2 linked regions of the Lonchura striata genome follow. The protein of the gene in region 2 interacts with the protein of the main gene of each other region in a pairwise test. Links are inferred from orthologs where the notes say so. Each region holds a gene or a part of one and is shown on either strand. Other genes may lie near its edges. The genes, in order: CCDC90B and TSC22D1.

Region 1 (10,519 bases), about 25 Mb from region 2:
GAATAGTAAGTATTTCTGCATATATTGGAACTGTCCTGCAGAGATAGGAACATAGGCAAAACTGATTTTTAAACTGCTTCATCCATTGCTTGCAGAATTAACTCAAACTGGGATTTTTGCTTTCTGATGATAAAAAATACACTTTGCCTGTAGCTTGGTGTAATTTTGAAGTGTTACAGATGATGCGTGGTGAATAATGGGGAAGAAAAATTGCTCTCATTTTAGTCAGATCTGGTCAGGTGCTGAGAGCTTTTGCCCTAGAGATTTATTTCCAGCAATCTGACTGGTATGTTGTGTTTCAACTAGCCCATTCCATAAAGTGGGCTAAATTAACATTGAAAATTGCTTTCAAGGCACATTATTTAGAGAACTATACCACTGCACCCTTCTAAAATACTGTTACTGTCCAGGTGCACCACTGGCTTACATGTCTAAAAAACGTACATGTGCCTTACAGCAGCTTCTTCCCACTACAAAGTGTGATAGTATTGCTTCAGGTTCTCTGAATTTTCAGGGTTAGTTGAACTCTTGCCAATTCCTTATGTTGCTCTTCCTCCACAGCAAGAAATTACTTTGTTTTGTGAAAGTTTAGAAAATGAGGAAAAAAAAAAAAAAATGTAAGCAAGAGACTGAAGCCTGAAAACTGCCAAAAGCTTGGGAAAAACTAAAATGGCTCTCTTATTTTTGTGGTTTTACCTATAAAGATCTGTCACTGTGGTAGAAGTATTTGTAGAAGTTATAGAACAAATTAAACTGAGTAACAACTGGCACCAGACTTTATCCCACAAGTCCTAAAGGAAGTTGAAGAAGAAATAGCTGAATCAGTCTCTAGGACAAGTAAGATTTCACAGCTTACTGTGGAAAATAAAAGTGCCAGTTTTAAAAAGCAGTTCTAGAGCGATGTAGGGAAGTGCAGGCTGTCAAGTCTGACAAGCATGATAAAAATAAACACAGCAGATTACTGTGAGTCTTTTAACTACTAACACATATTATTATTAGACCCAAATAGTGGAAACAATTATAAACTCTGACAGTACGAAGTTTCTACTGTCACTTGGGATTTTAAAAAATAGTTGCTCGTCTGATGAAGATATCAGCTCAAAGCTCAGCAGGGATGAATAAAGCTAACCAAACCCTTTGAATGACTAGGAAAAGGAACAGTGGACCCAGCATTACTTTACTATGCAAATCCATAGGACATTCAGTTGTCAAGTAATGCCAGCACTGTTCCCTGAAAGCCTGAAATGGAATGGAATGTGACAGAAGCAGAAAATACTAACAGAAGGGCATAGTGAATAATCAAAAATATGGAAAATCTACTGCTTCAGGAAAAAAAGCAACAAGCTAGGATTCTTCTGTTTGGAAAATGACAGGGCAATAGACAGAAGTTTGCATAATTCTGAGTGACATGAGAGATAAAATGTTCACTCCTTCCCACAAAGGAGCTGAGTGAGCATCAAATGCACCTCACAGATGCCAGATTCTGCATAAACAGACCACACAGATGCCTGAAGTTCCATGAGAAAGCATGCTCTGGATAGTAATCAGTTTATAGTGGCTCAGGGACTGCATAAACTTGTGAAAAGATTTCCACTGACGGTTACTAAAACTCTCAACCAATTTAAAGTAACTCCATGGTGACAGAAACTAGAAACCTGGAAAATACAAGAGGATGTGTGACATACATCTACCCTGTTATAACACTCCTCTGCAGGCTCTGACTCAGCTGCTGCCAGGAGACAGAACCCAGGGCTGGATGAACCCTTTATCTGAATTCAGCCAGCCTCACTCACAACAGAGGAGTGGGCATTGAGAATGTATCACAGCACCTTGCTGCTGAGAATATTTCTCACTAGGAAAAAACCCTTCAGCTACTCTTAGCAGGCTAATAGAAGGATTTTATTGAAGAGCTTCACTTTTGCTGTAGAAGTCTTTAACTGTTACTTCACATTTGTTACCTGTGTTGTGTTCTTCAGCTGGAAGACACCACATAAACCTGCTTACAGCTACAAATGAGGTCAATCTAATGTCCTAGTTATTTGTAGGGCACACCATCAGATGCCTCTCCTTCACCAGCCTCCTCAAGAGGCTGCTAAAACATTTTACACCACTGGTACTCAGGGGAAACTGACAGCACTCAAAGTTACACTACTTAATATTAAAATTTTTCCTTTGAATTATTTATCTGACATCACTTACCATGGGCTTCCAGATCCTGCACTAAAGCATGGGTATCAAAAGTCACCTTCCTCTGCTCCAGGGGAGTGATATCAACTCTTCTGACATCATATGACTTCCTAACGATTGTGGCAGCAAAACCTGGAAACAACCAAACATGCCTTAATCTTACCTTGATTGGCTTATCATGCAATACACTAATCTTCATTTCTTTCATCACAGAAAAGCTGTATGGATGTTGCAACAAAAAGCTGGGTTCAACACACCAGAAACCATCAACCCTTTTCCACAGGGAATTTACATTAAACAGGACTTACAGATCTGTCTGAAGTGTGTTCATATAACTGTACAACAGACAAGCATCCTGATACAGCACAAATAAACCCCACAGCCAACTGTTTGATAATATTTGGGAAACATCACTGAAATAATTTTCATACTTGTAAAAAACACTGAATGACTTTATGCAATCAAGCATTTATTGCTGTTTTATTTGAATCACTGAGCCTTAATTCCAACAGCTTTTTATTTTATCACAGAATCATAGAATGGTTTGGTTTGGAAGGGACCTTAAAGATCATCTAGCTCCAAACCCCTGCCATGGGCAGGGACACCTTCCACCAGATCAGGCTGGTCAAAGCCCCACCCAACCTGGCCTTGAAGCTTCCAGGGATGGGGCATCCACAGTTTCCCTGGGTAGCCTGTGCCAGTGCCTCAACAGCCTCACAGTAAAGAATTTCTTCCTTATGCCTAATCCAAATATCTCATTTTCAGTGGCTTGTGTGAACATAAAGCTACAAGTAAAAAGAATATATATGCAAATCTTATTTTCAAGATGAATTAATTTCTTGGTTCCAGGAAAGTAACTGGGCAATAAAGGGATATGATGTTTTATCTAACACCTCAGAGATGAGGAATACCTAATCTCTACAGAGATATTAGTTAACCTCGGGTATTAGTTAACGATCCACTCTATTTATGATGTGCTCTCCCACAAGCAGGTTTCACTGCTTCTCCTACTTTTACTTCAAGCATATGTTTCTCTTCACCTTATGTTTGTGTGGCTTTGCATATTACAGATTCTGCTCTGATTCTCTGTTCTCTAAGCAGCCCTGTTACTTCTTCATCTGTTCATGTGAAACTACATGCACTGCTGGCTCTCTGACTTAACCAAATTCTGTGTCTTATCCAGATCTTTACTCAAAAGCTTTATAACATTTAAACAATATGGAATTTATAATTTTGTGCCACTACTAGATAAATCAAGTTATGTGCTATCTTACAAATACTATAAAAATCAGACTACAACTAAACCAGGCACAGCACTTTATTATTAATGACAACATCAGAGTTAAGATGCACCAGATGCTACACACAAATAAAGAAAACCAATTTAAAGCGTTTTTATGGAGCTGTCCCAGGTTTTAAACACACGACTCTTATCTTCTAAACACATAGGTGGATTTTTTCTTTGGGTTGAAGAGCTACATTGCACAGACACTGTCTCAAGAAAGCCGGTATTTCAGCTCTGGTTGCTCCACTGCTGCAGTCTCGGGCGGATGCTCCTCTCCCAGGAGCTGAGAAAACCACTCCGCACACGCGTACCTGAGACAACCTCCGGATGACGCCCCCTGCACCCCGGCCTCTCCTCCCGTCCCGAACACCCCTGACAGCCCCTACGCACTCACCCCTTGCTCCAGCCCCGAGGGAAGGCGCTCAGCGCTCCCTCACGCAGCGCCTCAGGGACGGGCCCCGCGCCCTGTGCAGCCCCAGCGCCGCTCACAGACACGGGCTCACCCGACACCGGCAGCCACCCACCCCGAGGGGCCGCAGCACGGCGCCTCTCACCTCTGCGAGGAGCCGGGGGCAGCCGGGCCGGCACCGGGAGCAGGAGCGGCCCGGCCCAGGCGCGGAGGGCGCCGCTGCTCCCGACGCCCCTCATGGCGCCCCAGCCCGGCGCTTCCGCCCGCCCACTGCCGCTTCCGGCCAGCCCCGCGGGGCGTGCTGGGTACTGTAGTGTGCGGCAGGGCTCGGCCGGAGGCGGCGGCGCGGCGCCCTCGTGCGGTGGGAGGAGCGCAGCGCCGGGGCCGCCGAGCCGCCCTCAGCCGGGGCCGCGCCGTGCGGCGGCTCCGCTCAGTGAAACGCCGGGAAAACGCGCCTGAGGATCATCTAGTTCCTAACCCCTGCCATGGGCACAGGCACCTGCCACCAGAGCAGCTTGCCCTAAGTCCTATCCATCGCCTTGAACACTTCCAGGGAAGGGGCATCCACAGCTTTCTCGGGGCAACACATGCCAGTGCCTCACCACCCTCACAGTAAAGTTCTTCCTTATATCTAATCCAAATCTCAGTGATTTACGTGAACATAATGCTACATTTTTTTTTTAATACATACAAGTCTAATTTTCATTATGAATGAATTTCTTGGTTCACCAGGAAAGTAACTGGGGAGTACAGGGATATGATGTTTCTATCTAACACCTCAGAGATATCTTTTCTGGGAAACTGGTGCCAATGACTGCCCCCCCTCGGGGTAAAGAATTTCTTCCTAATATCTAATCTAAACTTGTCCTCTTGGTTTAAAACCCTTGCCGCATGTCCCATCACTATCGGCTCATTTAAAAAGTCTCTGTCTTTTCACAAGCCCCCTCAGGGTGCTGGGAGGTTGCAGTGAGGTTTCCCTTTAAGCCTCTTCCTGGGTGGACGCGCTCAATTCTCTCAGCCTTTGTAGGAGAGGTGCTCCAGCCCTTTGATCATCTTTGTGGCCTCCCCTGGACTTGCTCCAACAGATCCACATCCTTCTTCTTGTGTTGAGGTCCCAAGAGCTGGACACAGCACTCCGGGTGGGATCTCACAAGAGCAGAGCAGAAGGGCAGAATCCCTTGTCGCCCTGCTGCCCACGCTGCTTTTGCTGTAGCTCAGCACACAATTGGCTTTCTGGGCTGTGAGCACACACTGCCAGGCTGTGTTCAGCTTTTTATACATGAGAGCCCCCAAGTCATTCTCCTCAGAGCTGCTCTCAGTAAGTTCCTCTTGCAGTCTGTGCTCATATATGGGATTGCCCCACCAGATGCAGCCCCCTGCACTTGTTGAACTTCATGAGTGCCTCATGGGGCCACGAATCACCAGCTCCTGTGTTGCTGAAACACAGACATTAGAAAGAAACCCCAACAATAGCAACAAAGAGCTGTCACTAAGGGGGAAGAGCCGCAGATCTGCACCTTTTCTGCAGGGATGTTTTTGTTCAACGCTGTCACACACAGGCTCAGGATGGCAAATGCTCCTTGAGCAGCGCACAGTTCTTTCCATCCACAAAAGCTTCCCTGGCAGTGCAGAAAGGCCGAGTGCCCCAGGGTGTTGATTTTCTACTTCAGACAAACAGCGAGATGACAAACTGGGTGTTTGGAAGCTGTGCTTTCTGTCAGCCGGAGCCAGCAGCTGAACTCGGTACAGAGAGCTGCTCCGGGCACCAGGACTGCTGTCCCAGTTTGCCATAGGAGGGCAGCAGCCTACAGCCGGATCGGCTGTGTTCTGATCAGTTCACCCTTCTGCTCTGTTCTATTCTCATTAGTACGCATTCAGTGGAGGACAGCCATTCCTGTGCTCTCAGCTGGCTATTCTACAGCTTTTGCACACACACAACTCACACATCTCGATATTATCAGTCCGTTTGTCTGGCTGAGGGCCTGCAGCAGGGATTACTTTCATGCTGCCATGTGGCAGCACATTTCTCCCTCTCAGGATATTTCATAGAGGCGCACAGAGAGAAATGAAAGAGAAAACAATTTCTATTTCTTCTCCTTGTTTTTCTCATGTGTAATGTGTTTGGAGAATTTTTTACCTGGAGTGAATGCTTGATTTGATTCTAGTGAGGTTGTTTGAGCCTGATGGCCAATCCAATCCATCTGTGTCTGGACTCTCTTGAGAGGGTCACGAGTTGTGTTAAGGGTTAGATATAGAGTTAGAGAAAGCAGCATGTAGTTTTAGTATCTTCCTTTATATAGTATATTAATGTATTTTAGCATAGTTATAATAAAGAAATAATTCAGCCTTCTGAATTGAGTCAGACATTGTCATTTCATTGCATTGGGTTCGCCTGCATTTACAACACTGCCATACACTGCAAGGATGTAGAGTAGAGCTGTAGGGTAGAAGGCTCTCCTCTGAAATGGATGAAAATAGGGAAGGCAAGTGGATGTGGACCACCAAGTGAAAAGTGTTGAAACCAGTGAGATGGCTGGAAAGAGGGGAAATAACAAGATACATCCTCTGTCTGGTATTGGGACCATCTATCTATTATCACTGCCTCAGCATCCACCAGCACACCTCCCTTCCAGGTCTGTTCTGCTTCACCTCAGGGAGTAAGAGGAAAGTACTGCTGGGAATCTGATCCTTCTCTTACCACACTGGTGAGACAAAGCCAAAGTGCAAGATACACTTGGGAGCTTGGGAGGCAAAGCTGAGCAAGATGCAACAGCCCAGAGTGGGACAGAAGATAGCTTGCATCTAGAAGATGCTATTAATCACAATTTTGCCCTCTCGTTGTTTCAGCACTGGTTGGTATTGTATATATTTAGGAACATGAGACCTCCTCAGTGTTCCTTACTCAGGTCAATGTGTTGTGCTCTGACTCTCTTCTGTGTTACAAAGCCAGGCTATGCCACTGCTGGCTATTCAGTGGGCTCTTGTGCTTCAGCGTCGTGTTAGCAAACATCTCTCAGGATTTCACTCTCATTTGATAAAAGTACCTTGCAGGTGGGAGGTTGTTACCCAGCAGCTCTCTAGAGTTGCTTAAGCTTTCTTTATGGGAAACTCAGGGAGAAGGGCTGGTGCATTCTACCCAGTTTTGAACTGACTGGAGCTTAACAGTGCTTCACAAACACATGGAGACAAAGAGCGGGGAGCAGGTGAATAATGCAGATCAACAACAACAGGACAATAGATTCTGTATTCCTCATACAAATTCACTGAGGCATGTGTCCTGGAAAGCTTTCTTCCTCCTAAGGTGTATCTATCACAGCTTGCTTTCCATCTAGATAAGCACATTTGCAGCAAATTAGATTACCTTCCAAATAAACATGCAGGGTGGGGCATAGTAGCCGGGGGTAGGATGGGTCAGTGCTCTGCATGATTAATTTACTTACATCAGGCTCAGATAAATCTTACTAAATTAAATTTAGATGGAGTATGGGCTGTGGACAGACAGACTTTGAAGCTGTGACTGACATGATGTTGATTTTCATCCTTGTTGGTATCTTGAATAACCCTGAGACCCCAGTGGGAAGGAATAATAGAAGAGTGATCACAGATGTATTTGATTAAGTCTTGTCTAAGTCGGTGAGGTGGCTGCAGTCGATGGAACCATGCTGACTTGTGCCGACTTGTATCAGCAGAGGCTACTGCTCATTCATTGTAATCTTGTTGCACTGAGAAGCCCAAACTGTGCATCAGCATGTCACTGTTGTGAAATCTCAGTATGTAGATCCTGCATGCAGACAAAGTCAATTCAATTCCAGTGTGGAAATTAGTTAGGGAAAAAAGTCTTTGGTACTTGTTGCCTGATGCTCCTCTTGCCCATCTTTCTGAATTATCCTCTCCGTGCCCTTCACAGAACTTCCATCTACCACCTGTGTGGTACTTTGGTTGTCAGGTGCACCCCTCAAGCATAAGCCCACCCACATATTGCTTCTTTTCCTAGATGTCGTGATGTTTCATGGGCTCACTAAGCTGTGGATAACTGACCCTGACATCCCCAGTCTAGGTCACTCCAGAAATCCAGATGGATTCTGCTCCCTTGTAATCTGATGATGTCAGGGTACACTGTGCGTCAGTGTCCAGCAAAGCCTTCCGCTTCTGTGGATCACATGCCAGGCTGTCAAACCGGTCTTCTTGGATGGGTGCTTTGTAGCAGTGGTTTTCCTTGTAGTCCGTGCATGTGGGCTTCTAGATTTGAGGTGGGCACATTGTTCCCCTTCTTCATCCTCCCGATTGTGCAGGAGGAACCACAGGCTGGCATGGCATGCCCTGGATCCCCCTTTCCCTCTGACAGGACAGAGACAACTCTGAGGGGCATCTCTAGCCGAGACCTAGACCTTTGGTCAGGGGGAGGAGGGGAAGTTCTCTTTGAATCCTGGGAGCCATTGGAACAGTCACTCTGTAGTTAGTGGTTCGGGGTCTGTCCAGTGCATCAGCCCCACGGTGCTGGCATTCAACAGCGGTGAGTTATGTGCACCTTCTGCACATGGACTGGGTGCAGTCCCACCACCTCTACTTCCCTCAAGCATTGGATGCCTTTTACAGTGGTGGTTCACTTGCCCAGGCATTGTACCAAGTCATCCTTGAGGGAGTAACTGACTTTCATTGTCAACAGGAATTACATCCAAAGGCTTCCCTTTGCCAATCCTGGTGTGTCTCCTTAGGGATCCCAGCTGCCTGGCTTGCTGGCTAACTCCTGGTAGCAGACCCCAGTATCCTGATGTTGGAGCAACCAGGTAGCAATCTGCTCACCTTGTGGCTGTAATTTCCCCACAGATCTTGCAGCTCCTTTAAAACTCAGGCTTTATGGCCTGAGTGATTTCTGCCTCCTTTGTCTCTTTGTCACTCCCTCATCCTGCCTCTTCTAATGGTGCTGGGCTGAGGCTCAGTAGGCAGAGGCCAAGCCAAAAAATATTGCCAAAATTTGTTTGGTCTCATTGATTTAGGTAAGGCACCTTCTTTCAAGTGTGAGCCAGTTCAACAGGTTTATGTGCCTGTTCAAGTGTAAAATCTCAGGCTATTGAAGGTGATAACTGCTCTAGGCACTGGCTCTAGGCACCTTCCCAAATCCTCCCACAAACCTTGGCAGCACCAACTGGCCATCTTGGTGCACATTTCTTTGTTACCTCACCAACAATGCTTTATGCTTTGTTTACCCTTGTGCCAGTCAGGTTCTGCAAGCCCACCAGCAATCCAACAATGCTTGAGAACATATTCAAACAGCATGCATGATCATGTACAGGGAGCTTGGGAGCCCACACAAAAAAACTGGACACATCTATCCCAGGGGAGCAGAGGGAGGTGTAATCCCTAGTGCTTCCTGCAAGGGAGCTCACGCAGCACAAGAGGAGCATCAGTGCCCTTGCACACGGCCACTGCCTTTTTCAAAAGGTGTCCAGGCACAGTGAAGTAAAGCAGTAAGCACCACAGCAAACAGCAGAAATGGCCTTGGACTGTAATATACAGCAAAGAACACAAGCTGCATGACCAGCACAGTACCTGCCTCTAACAACTCTAACTGCTGATAGAATGCTCAAATGGAACCTGTTATCTCAGGCCCCATGCTGCGCTTGGAGCAGACAGTTGTGCCTAACAGGCACCTACCCAGCTGCTCACTGACTCCCCTCCCTCATGGGATGGGGAGAAAACAGAAGATCAGATTTGTGGTTTGAACTAGCGATAGTTTAATGGGGAGAGCAAAAGCTGCATGCACAGGCAAAGAAGGGGGAAAAAACTGCCACTGGCAGGCAAATGTTTTGCTACTTCTTGGCAAGGAGGACCTCAGCTTTAGTTGAGAAGACAAATGCCATAGCCACAAACATAGCTTCACAGAATCACAGAATCACAGACTGGCTTGGGTTGGGAGGGACCTTAAAGACTATCCAATTCCAACCCCCTGCCATAGGCAGGGACACCTTCCACTAGAGCAGGTTGCTCAGAGCCCCATTAAGCCTGGCCTTGAACACTGCCAGGAATGAGGCAACCTGTTCCAGTGCCTCACCACCCTCACAGTGAAGAATTTCTTCTTATCATTCTCTGTTTTTCCTCCTTTCTCTGTGCTTTTACTGCTAAGCATGATGTCATATGGCATGGAATATCTATTTTGTCAGCTAGAATCAACTGTCCTGACTGGGTCCCCTTTCAACCCTTTGACAATCCCCAGCCAACTTGCTGGGTGAGGTGGGCAGAGGAGGACAGAGAGAAAACCACAGATGCTTTATAAGCTCTGTGCAGCAACAGCCAAAATGCTGTTGTTACCAACACCATTTCAGCCACAGCTTCAAAGCATTGCTTCACACAGGCTGTTAAGAAAAAAAGGTAATTCCCCCTCAGCCAGGCTCAGTACACTTGTCTAGCAAAGATCCTGAAGGACACAGCTGTACTGGAGAAGCTGACACAACTTCATAAACAAGTTTGTAAAAGTCACTGTAATCTTATTTCCAAGTTATTATGGAAATGGCTGGCGGCTCCCAAGGAGAGTTTTTCACATCTCCTGGTGTTGCTCAGAAATTCTGATGGAGCCGAAAATGCTTTGACTTAGATTGCACAGTGGGGTTTTAGTGTTTTGAGACCACACAGTCATTGAT
Region 2 (11,097 bases):
CCACCCCCTCAAGTGGAAAACAAGTTCTTTAATACAATATCTGCATGCACTGAGACCTGAGAAATAGTATTTTAATTAGACAGAAACATCACACTGCTTCATTTCAGAGAATGGCTGTAACAAGAACTGCAAGTTAGTGCAAATCAAACTATCAGAGAGTCCATCTTTTAATAAAGTTACAGGCAGTCTTACCTCTCATCCTCACCATCTACAAGAGGTGTTGTCAACGGCAGCACCTTCAGCGGGAAGAGGGACGCCGAGGATGGCATGTTGCTGCTACCGCCATCTGAAGCGGCCGATGCTCCACCACCACTCTCAACGTTGGCAGCTTGAGGTAAACCCGCCAAGGAAGGCTCTGTAGGGCGTCTGCCGTCTTCGATTTGGCTTACAATGGACTGAGCTAGTGATTGTGCAGGGAACTGGGTAGAGCTTAATGGCATCTGCTGCGGCACACTCTGTGCCACTGGCATACCTATACTTGTTGATATCAAGGGAGGCTGACTAACACTTTGAGCCAAATTACCATTCTGCACAGCCGAAGCCTGTGCTATACTCTGCGGCTGTCCCAAACCTACAGAAGCAGAAGGTATGCCAGGAGGCACAGCTGAACCAGCTTGACTTGGTGCAGGAACAGCACTACCAGAGGGTATAGGGCTCACTGCGGGCAGCTGCTGGCCAGTCATCCCTTGGACTACAGATTCCACTCCTTGTGCCTGTGGCTGTACAGGCAACAAGGTGTTTTGCTGAGCAATGACCATTTGTTGAGGAAGGCCTGTAGTGCTAGCCTGCAATCCTTGCTGCATTATTCCTGTCTGCACAGGCTGCACTACTTGGGAAGATGGAGGAGCAGCCGTTGATGGCATAACTGGAGGTGGAATTTGGTTTGTAGCAGATGGTGGTTGCACCACAGCAGCTACACTTCCTTGCTGCCCAACATTTAGCATTTGACCACTGGCAGCTACACCTGGTATTGCTGCTGGAGCATGTGCAACAGGCTGAGCTGGGGCAGCAGCTGGATGTGCTTGAACTGAAGGCTGCATGCCTTGTGCCTGGGCAACAGGAACCGGTTGCCCAGCTCCTACTCCTGCAGAACTTGGCTGCATGGCAGGGGCTGGAGTCTGAAGGATCTGCTGATGTTGAATGTAGTCTGGCATAGCCCCCGTGACAGAGTTTTGGTTCACCGGCTTAACGTGACCCGCGGCCATCTGCGCAGGAACTGGCTGCTGTTGCTGCTGCTGCTGCTGTCCGTACTGCAACTGCTGCTGCACCACTGGCAAAGTCTGCACAGGCTGCGCCGGCTGCGAATATGGCAGCTGCTGTTGAGCCATACTCTGAAGGGCAGGTTGCTGGTGGCCCAGAGATGGGGATACACCTAGTATATTAACTGGGGCTGGCTGAACCCCAGGAACAGTGGTTAGACTGGCCTGTGCAGGAGTCTGGACCCCTGGCTTCTGCTGTGGATAGTTTACTTCTTGAGAATGCAGCTGGACTTGTGCAAGCTGTGATTGAGAAACACTCTGTGGTATACTAGATGCTGGAATTGCTGGAGGAGCAGCACTGCTAAAATCCATCTGCTGCGGACCCACACCTTGAAATGCTTGCTGCTGTACCACAGTAGGTGCTCCCATTTCTCCACTTCCCACACTTTCTGTATAGTGACTCAGTGTGCTTACATTGCTGCTAACAGAACTCCCACTGGTGCTCTCCCTTTCAGAAGTCACTTCAAGCGGGTTTTGTTTTATCGTCTCTACTGCTTTGTTTACTGCTACTCCCTCCGAAACTGCAACAGTGTTTTCTTTATCATAGAATTCAGTGCATGTCCATCTACCTTTTTTGAAAGGTTCAGAACTAGAATCTAATTTTACAACCCTAAACCTCGACGTGCCAGATGCAGGCTGCTGCTGGCTTGATCCCACTGCCACTCCTGCAGTTGGATTAGTAGCATTGTTAATGACACTAGAGGAAGCACTCGTACCATTGCCAACACCACTCAAGATATTCACATTAGCATTGCTGCTAGTTCCAGACAAAGCATTTACATTACCAGTACTCATGATGTTGCTTAAATTTATAGTACCAAGCACATTGCTTGCCACATTAGAACTACCACCACCAATATTACTTAAGGTACTAGTTCCAGGAGCAGGACTTATACCTAAATTGCCAGGACTACTTGTAGTGCGGATATTAGACACAGCAGATGCTGGGGAACCAGTGGATGATGCAGCAGAAACTGGTGCAGTTGATATAACATTGTCAGAGCTTCCAGTTGTTGATAGTTTTCTAAACGATGGACTGGGTGGCGGTCCTCCAGAAATTGGGGCACTACCCACCCCAGGATGTGATGGATGATGGTGTCCGTGATGGTGGTGGTGAAGATGGTGGTGATGATGAACATGATGGGGATGAACACTTCCATTGATCACAACACTCTGCTGTGGGTGATGAGGCTGAGGAGCATGCTGCTGAGGAAGATGAGGCTGGTTTGGAGAAACAGCCCCAGGAGTCTCTGCCTCTTGGAAGTTATTTAGAGTCTCTTCGGAAGAGCTCCTCTCAGGTTCTCCCATGTCAGTGGCTCTGGATAAAGACACATCCAAGATTTCAGAAGATGAGAGGTCTTCAGTGTGAGACTCATCCAGGTCATCGTAACTTTCTGTATCCTCGGCTATGCTGTTATTAGAGCTCATACTAGCTGATATTTGAGCAGGGGTCACACTGGTAATTTGAAAGCCACTTTTCTTTTTCATTTGAGCTCCAGTCTGTGCAAGGGGCTGTGGCTGGAGCTGAGACTGCGAGAGGAGGTTCAGGCTTTGTGGATGAGGGGGTGTCGGCTGTGGACCCACTGTTGAAGCTGCTGCAGGAGATGGAGGCGGCGGCTGGACCAGCAAAGGCGGCTGATAATCCTCGGCAGAGAGGGCAGCGCTCCCAACGCCGGTACCTGGTGCAGTGGGAGCAGTAACGCAGCCGCTGCCGCTGCTACTGCTGCTGCCCCTTCTAGGAAACATCGCCGGGTGCGCCATCTTCCTAGCACTAATGTCTGCGGCTGAGTCAGGCTGGTGCATTGTATCGAGTGTATTTTAAGAGTGCAATCCCCCGGTATGGAAAGAGACAGACAGACACACATACACACACACACGGTTAGCTGCGTGCTCAGGGCAGGGCAGACACCACCACGCACAGCCCTCCCGGCTCCCGCAGCGCACGGGCTGAGGCGGCTCGGCACCGCCGCTCACCACCACCCCTCTCCCCTCCCCCTCCCCTCCGAGACAGGGAGGGGGCGAGCACCGGTCCTCCGCCGCCTCTGAATGTGACACTTTCAATCCTCCGCCATTCACTTTCTTCCTCCCTACCACCCTCCCTCCCGCCACCCTACCACCGCCTCCCTGCTCGGCCGCCCCCCCGTCCCCAGCCCTCCGACTGCGCCTCACCCGGGAGGGCAGCCAGCCGGCCGGCCCGGGGGCGAGCCCCTTCCTCCTCCCCGCGGAGGCTCCGCCGGGCGCCGCGGCTCGCCGGCAGCACCGCCCTCCCTCGCTCCCTCCCTCCCTGCCTCGGCGGGGCGAGGGGTGCCGGCGGGCCCGCAGGGCAGCCCGGCGAGGCGGCCGGCGCCCCTCGCCATCACCGCTCTTAGGAGCGGGAGGAGGAGGAAGGCGCGGATACGTACAGGACTGGCGCACAGCAGGGCGGCAGCGGCAGGCTGAGCCGGGCAGGGACATCCCCGTCAGTGGCAGCCATGGAGCTGAATCATTTTGGATATCAGAGAGACGGAATAAGGACGGAAGAAAAGCAGCAGCAGCAACCCGACAAAAGAGTCCATGAAAAGGAGAGAGGGAGGGAGGAAGGGGGAGCCAGCCAGGCAGCCTCTCTCTCCTCCCTGTGTCTGGCTGTCTCTGGAGGAGGCTCCGCTGTGCACGCTCTTCCTTCCCCCTCCGCCGCCTCCTCCCCCTTTATAACAGGCGGCACCCGCTCGTCCTCCGCAGAACCGCGCCTGGAATCCGTCCTCCTCCTCCCGCGTGTGCGTCCGCCCCGTCCTTTCTTCCCTCAGGGTTTACTCCCGGCTTCCCCGCCGCCGCGGGTCTCTCCCTCCCCGTGCCGGCCCCGTCTCCTCACAGAGCGCCGGAGGAGGCGCCGCGGGGGGGAGGAGGGGAGAGCTCGCCAAAGGGGAGGGCGGGCGAGAGACAACGTAAGATGGCGGCGGCCGCCGCGCACGCGCGCCCCGCCGGCAGACATAAAGCCCGTCTGGCCGGGGCCGGCGGAAATAGGGCTCGGCTCGCGTGGCGGAAATGGCCGAGCCCGCGGCGGGCGGGGGTGTCCCGGCCGAGGAGGGGGCGAGGCCGCGGCCATGGCGGGCGGCGGCCCGTCCCCCTCCCCGGCCGCGTCGTGTACCCGCCAGGTGCCCCCTCTCTGCCCGCAGCATGACTGTGCCTCACATGACCTGCCGCCGTTTCCCTCCCCCCTCCTCAGCTCCGCTGCAGATTTATTCAAGTTATTCATCGCCTTCTCTCCTTCCTCCCCTCCCTCGGTCCAGAATATTCCTGCCCGCTCCTTCCCCCGCGCGTGGGGAGGAGAGCGGAGTGTGCGCGCATCCCCCTCGCTCGGGGCCGCTTTCCCTTTGTGCCCGGGGCGGGCGGCTCGCCCCGCTGCCCGCTCCATCCCAGCCGCGGCGGGGGCCGCAGGCGCCCTCCGTACTGCCGGGCAGGGATGCCCGGAGGTCAGGTGGGATCGTTCCTCCGCATCCACCTGCGCTGTGTCCATGGGCGTGTGTCTGTGTGTGGAGGAGCTTCTCATGAAAGCTCCAGACGAACCATACAGAAGCACTGATTAAAAAAAAAAAAAAAAAAAAAGTACAAAACTTATTAAACGGGATCGAGGTGAAATTAACAGACCTTCCTTCACTGTTCAAGTGCCAGCATCGTCAAAGCCAGGCGGCAAAGCTCACCACGCCCACCACGGTGAGGCTGCTCCCATCCCATCCCAAACGGAGCTGGCTTCTCTCCTTCGGTGAGCACCGCCTGGTCTCCAGAGACGCTCGATGCACACATACCTGCCCAGAGATTTTTCCTTCGCGTCCTTGTGCCTGTTGCCTTGCACAGAGCTGCCTGGCAGGCATCCCGTGGCCCCACCGTGATCAGTGGATCCAGCCCGATAGATCCCCACCATTTGCACCGCTCCACCTCTCCTGCAAGCAGAACCCTTTCCAGCCGGACTTCCAGAGATCGATAGGTGGGATGTCCTGCATTCCTACAGAGACGGGACAAGTTCACACCCTCTGCCCTGTTTCTCCGGCAGCCTGGTGCTACGTAAGGTGTGCACCATGCTCGTATTCCCAACTCCTGGCAGCATGACGTTGTCTCCAAACAGAGAAATCCATGAGCAGGCAGGAGGTGTCTCAAATCACTGCTTTGAAATTGCTGTGGCTTGCCTGGAATTGGTGAAGTGTTTGAAGGGCTCAGGCTAATGTTGTAACCTGACTGTGGAGCCCACTGATCAGGACGATCAAGAGAGCATGGAGAACAAACAGGGCTTGGCTCTTGCTGCTGTGAATATTTAAACACATAAGGAAGAGTAGTAGAGCTTTAATGGGGAAAAAAGTTGTGAGAGTCCAAGGTATTATATCATATAGCTGAGTCATTAGAGAGTTCTTATGGGAGATATAAATGTTAGTTTCTTCAGGCAGAGAGGAGATTTGAGTCTCCCATGTTTAGTATGTGGCATTTAATCACCAAGGAACTAAAAAGCTGCTTTTCTTGCTCCATTTTGTGAAAAGGGCAAGGATTCAAGGTCACACACAGCGAGAGCTCTTGCTGCCTGTTCTTGAATTTCACACTTCCATCTTGCCTCTCCCTGCTAACCTTGCTTATCTAGCTTTCATTTGGTGTGGGGATAGGGGTGGCTTTTGAGAAAACCCTGCCTTTTGCAGTTTAATTCATTTTATCTGGAATGCAGGCATTCAGCTCAGGTCTCCAGGTACCTGAAAGGTAGACTTGCAACCCTTTCTCCTTCCATGGCTGTACTGCCTTTATACAGAAACTAAAGAACAATTGACACATAGTTAAATAGGATTCATCTTTTCCTGAGGGCAAGCCAATATTATTTTTAAAAAACTGATAATCAGATGGCAGCCTATACTGAAAGACTACTACCTGAGAGTGAGCTGGCTGCATGTAACCTTTGCAGATTTCAGGACAGCTTCACAAACGTGCCCACAATCTGTCTACATCTTGATCCTTGGTGCCACACTGAAATCTTAGATTGTCTTTAATGAGATACTCACACTTGTAAACATTTTTGAGATGAGGGCTCGACACTGCAAGTCAACAGCCATTAAAAATCCCTGTTCTGTCTGCTTATAACTTTCCCAGAACAATTTCCTTTGAGGAATAGAGGTTTCTGTGATGAGTTGTAACTCGAAGATTATTTTTGAATGTTTGAACAAAATCCAACTACTTTTAAAGCACAGAGGCTATGAATACAGATGAGTTGGTTTCTAAACTTAAAAATTTGTGCAAAAGCAACCTAAAAAGGATTGAGCTGTAAAGTTTGTATGCACCTAGTCAATATCAGCAAGGCTGAAAAAGAATTGAAACGGTAGTACTGGTAGTAATTAAATATTTGCTTTGCCTATGCCAATTAACTTATATTCATTTTGAGTAGTTGGGCTGCTTCATAGTACAGTGTGTTATATGGGGTTTTTATTAATTGGGTCCATATTGTTCTCTTCTTAGAAACTGAAGAAAAAATGAAATTTAGATAACAGTGTTAACTTATCTGCATAATGTGGTCACTGATCTGTTAGCAATCCAAATACTGGTCTAGACTAAACAAAGCACATCAGAAGTGGCAAGATTGAAATTAATTTTTTAATGCTGCTTGAAATATGAACATTTTCATGTTACACCCATTTTCTTTCCTTACCTATTTTCTTCAGGTACAAACTTACTTCTCTTTCTTTCATTTTTTGGTAAGCATTAGTCTAAGCATAAAAATGGGATTCTCAGATAAACAATTTTAATTTCATATCTATTAAAATATAAGAAATTATAATTAAACCACTGGAATTTATAATTGTTATGGATTGTATTCTTTAGTTGTTCAAGGTGGGAAAAGAAATTCCATCCTATACCTAATTTACAGAACACCAGATATTTAAAAATTCAGCCACCACACAACTGACCATGTGTAGAAAGTGAAATTATACCCAGCAGTTATTCCAAACAGCTCTACCTGCTATTTTTTAATTAGCTGTATTGATCAGTCAGCTGGAACCAGAGTTACTTGTGTCATCACTGGATGGATTGAGCAGCTTGTTGACCATGATCACTGCTCATGACTACAAGGCAGACAATCCTGCAGTCCCATCATTACCTCAGCTGCAGACTGAAGAGTGCTGGAGGGTTGCCAGGATAGAGGAATCCCTTTGGATTGCATCTCTTACATACATACTTCCCAAATGAACAAGCACAGATGAGCTTGATGCAGTCCTTGCTGCCAGGCAGGGAGAGTGAGTGTCTGGAATAATGCTTATTTCAACTTTAAAATCTTATTGTTCGGGCTAGTGCAAGAGAACAAGATCTTCACAGTGTAAATATTTAGAGATCTGTCTCCTGTATATGTAATATTTCTTCAGACAGGAAACAACACCTTGCTGCCACCACAGATTCTCCAAGGATATCAAAATAAGCAGTATTTTAATATTTTCTTTCTTTGGCTCCTTCACTACTCAACATAGTTGTGTGCATTCATCCTAGCATATGCAGTAGTTTATGTCTTTGTACTAAGTAATTATAAAGCCAACAAGCAGGAATACTATGGGGTTTTTACTCAAGACAGTCAAAATCATGAAAAATCAGTCTGATGTGTGCTTTAAGTCCTGTGTGACTGTTTAATAAATAATTTTTTTAAAAATTAATAAAAATAATTTTTTCCCATGAAGTTGCCATTGTTGGTTTAGACAGAAAGCTTCTCTCTGTTCATTAATATCGCTGACTGTAGTTTCTAAGTTGATTTGCAAAGATGTATGCATTTTTTTCTTCCTTCTAAGAGAAGTAGTCATAAGAAAATTCTTACCTTTCAGCCCTGAAAAAGTGGTAATTCTGCTTCTGCATTTTCTTAGAAAGTTCAAGTCAAGTCTTGATCTTCCTTTCTTGTTTTGTTTTTAGTTGGCTGGTTAGTTGGTTGATTGAGTTTACTGATTCCAAAACGCCTACTGAGACATTTTTCATCCCTTATTTTAATTCTTATTAAATAATGTTGAACTTTTGGGAAAGGGAAGCTTTCTCACAAGTTTTTATTAAATAAATGCTTGCAGAAATCAACAATTCAAGACTGCAATCTAGCAGTCTTGAAAAAAAAATCAGTTCTCTTTAGACTAGTAAGGTGTATTCCAATGCCAATATACACAAAATCATATCTTTCTAGATCATCTGGAAAAGTTGTTTTAAAATATTCATTATACCTGAGCTTGAGAAATGTGGCCAAGTAGGCAGCCTTTTTTTAATGGGGATTGTATTCAAATTCAGAATTAATGAAAGATGTTTAGAAGCTTTATCATTGCTTTAAACTTTGTAGGTGTGTAGACTACATACAGGACTATATAGACTGTATTGTGGGAGCAAGGGTTAAAAGTAAATCCTCCACCAGCCCATGACTAATGAATTAACAGCCAAAAGATCACCACCATTTTATCACTATATTCATCTTGCTCTCCTTTATTCCTCCATTTTCTCTTGAATTTGTAGTCAACTGATGAATTTGCATCTTATACAAGCGCCAGGTTATAGAAAGTATTTCCCAGATACCTCAACATGCAACTGTAATGAATGCAGTACTACTATAGAGTGAGATAATTTCTTTAATTGTTTGTAGAGTACAGGTCTTAGATTGCTAACTGTTTGATCTTTGATTAGTCAGCCAAATGTTATATATAATTAAGCTGAAGATTAAATGAAATAGATGATCAAATCAATGGAAAATGGTCATACAGTTAAATAGAGCCTTCCCCCTCTTTTTTTTTTTTTTTGTAAATCAATGACCAAAGTAGGAGTCAACCATATTTTTTAGATTAGTTTTAGTATTTATGAATTAATCATAAACCTTTGCATAGGACTGTTTAAAAATGCTGAAAATCCGAGCTCTTGGTTTGTAGTTCTCAGTTGCAAAGATTGTGTGGAATTGTTTTCTTCTGACTGATCCTAATTCTGATAGGGGAAAGCACTTAGGAAAATGCTTTGTTTGGGAATGTACTTTGTGTTCCCTCACTACACTGGGAATTTTGTGATGTCTAAAAGTTCTGTGATTTATGTGTGGTTTTCTTGAATGGTTAGGAGAGAATGTGTCTGTTGTGATAAGGCACAAATCTTTAAAATCTCATCCTAGAATTAAATTTTGTTTTTCCCCATGAAGAGATGGGTTTCTTCAGTGCTGAATTCTTTGGAAAAGTAGAATGTATAGTTAGTGTTTAGTACAGCCACACAATTTTTCTCATATTATCACACAGTAACTGGAGACAGATAGGATCTCCTGATTGTGGAGAATACAGAGAAATTCTTGAACTCAATTGTCTGAAGCTTGTGTATCTAGTTTTCATCTCCCTTTTGGCTGTGTCAACATCATTTCTAGCCATTTAAAACATATTCTGTGGAAGCAAGTGTTTGTTTGCAGAAATCCAGAATTTTCTATGGGACAGTACTTGAGCAAGCTTCAGCTTTTGTTTTTTATATGCATTAGTTGTAGTGTAACTTGAACTGTTTACTGAAAGTAACCACAGACTGGTCATGAGCACAGCAGAAGTAAACACAATTTTTATCAATAGTCAATTGGTATGTTTCCTGATAACTCCAATAGTTATATATACTGCACTATTTTTCTGCTAAAGGACTTACAAACTCATTCACAACAACAGTAATTTTAATTCTTCTACATCTGTGAGGTCTTTGGTTTGTTTCCCTACATTATTATTTTTCAGGCGTCTTGCCTCTGATTATCTCTGCATTTTAAATACTGTATGTGTTACTTTTGCTTCTGCACACATACACTGACAAACCTTGAAAGTCATATTAAAAATGCCCTTGTGACAAAATTCAGTGGGGAACAGGTTTAGGATTTCCAACTCAAGCACAAGAAAAAAATTTTTCTTTATCACTTTCAGTAAAACAAAAGATGTGCCAAGTCCCGACAGGCACAAACACAAAGTCAGAGGCTTAACTTCAGTCATGTGAATAGTCCCTTTGATTAACGTTTGGTCACCAAACCCCTAAAAACTTAACATTAAATGTGTAAATATTTGTAGGCTTAGAAGACAAAAAGATGAGGTATGTGCTAAGGTGTGGCCTTATGGAGACTTGGGATTTTGTTTACCTTTAGTTGGTAACCCTGTTGAGTCCTTATCAAGAAGAAAGTTACTCCTCATGCTTATATTTTTTTGAAAGATGCTGACATTATGTCTAATGGAGCTTTGTGTCTTAGCTTAAAAGCTAGCCCTACAATATTTCATGGCTTTAGGATCAAGCTACATTACCTCGTTTCTAGTTTTACCTGTTATTAAGGCATTTTAACTGTTGTTCATCAGAAATCAGAAAATTCCCTATTTTAAACAGGCTACTAACAAAAATGCATGCTGCTATTGATTGGAAAGTGCTTTATTCCTGCTCAGTCTTAATACTGTTATTAGTAGTTTCAGCATGGAAGCACTGATGAGAATTTAAAACCCACTGGGGTTACTTGCCACATCTCATTGCTAAATGAATTCTTAGATAACACATGAGGAAAGGCAGAAATAGTCTCAAAACACACCTTAAACTGTGCTGATGGAGCCCATCCTATTTGAATAAAGGGCAGTATGTCAGTGTGTCTGTCCTGTGAGGCAAAATATGGTGACATTGTAAGTGAGGGAATTGCTTCCTGCAGCAAACACCCCCAGCCCTGTGTCTCCCAGTCCTCTCTTTTAAACCAGCTGTGAGAACCAAAAAACAAATCCTGGTCAGGACACATGCTAAATTGAGCTCAGTATCATGCAGAACACTTGCTCTCCAATTGACAGGTGCCTCCTCAGCACCTAGCGAGGATGGTCAAAGGGGAATCCTTGGTGAGAGGACTTCTAAT

Evidence for each region.
Region 1: the proteins of TSC22D1 (region 2) and CCDC90B interact in a two-hybrid assay, tested with the Homo sapiens proteins (2 studies listed by BioGRID and IntAct). The link is inferred for Lonchura striata from reciprocal best matches to the Homo sapiens genes TSC22D1 and CCDC90B.

Annotation. Positions count from the first base shown.
Region 1 is NC_134604.1:36,118,828-36,129,346, reverse strand, and holds the start of CCDC90B (coiled-coil domain-containing protein 90B, mitochondrial), read right to left. Parts: upstream 4,155-10,519; 5' UTR 4,121-4,154; coding exon 4,027-4,120; intron 3,995-4,026; exon of another isoform or gene 3,867-3,994; intron 2,320-3,866; coding exon 2,200-2,319; intron 744-2,199; exon of another isoform or gene 1-743.
Region 2 is NC_134604.1:60,756,158-60,767,254, forward strand, and holds the start of TSC22D1 (TSC22 domain family protein 1), read right to left. Parts: upstream 4,141-11,097; 5' UTR 3,662-4,140; intron 3,054-3,661; 5' UTR 3,021-3,053; coding exon 193-3,020; intron 1-192. UniProt on the Homo sapiens protein: Transcriptional repressor. Acts on the C-type natriuretic peptide (CNP) promoter. Acts to promote CASP3-mediated apoptosis.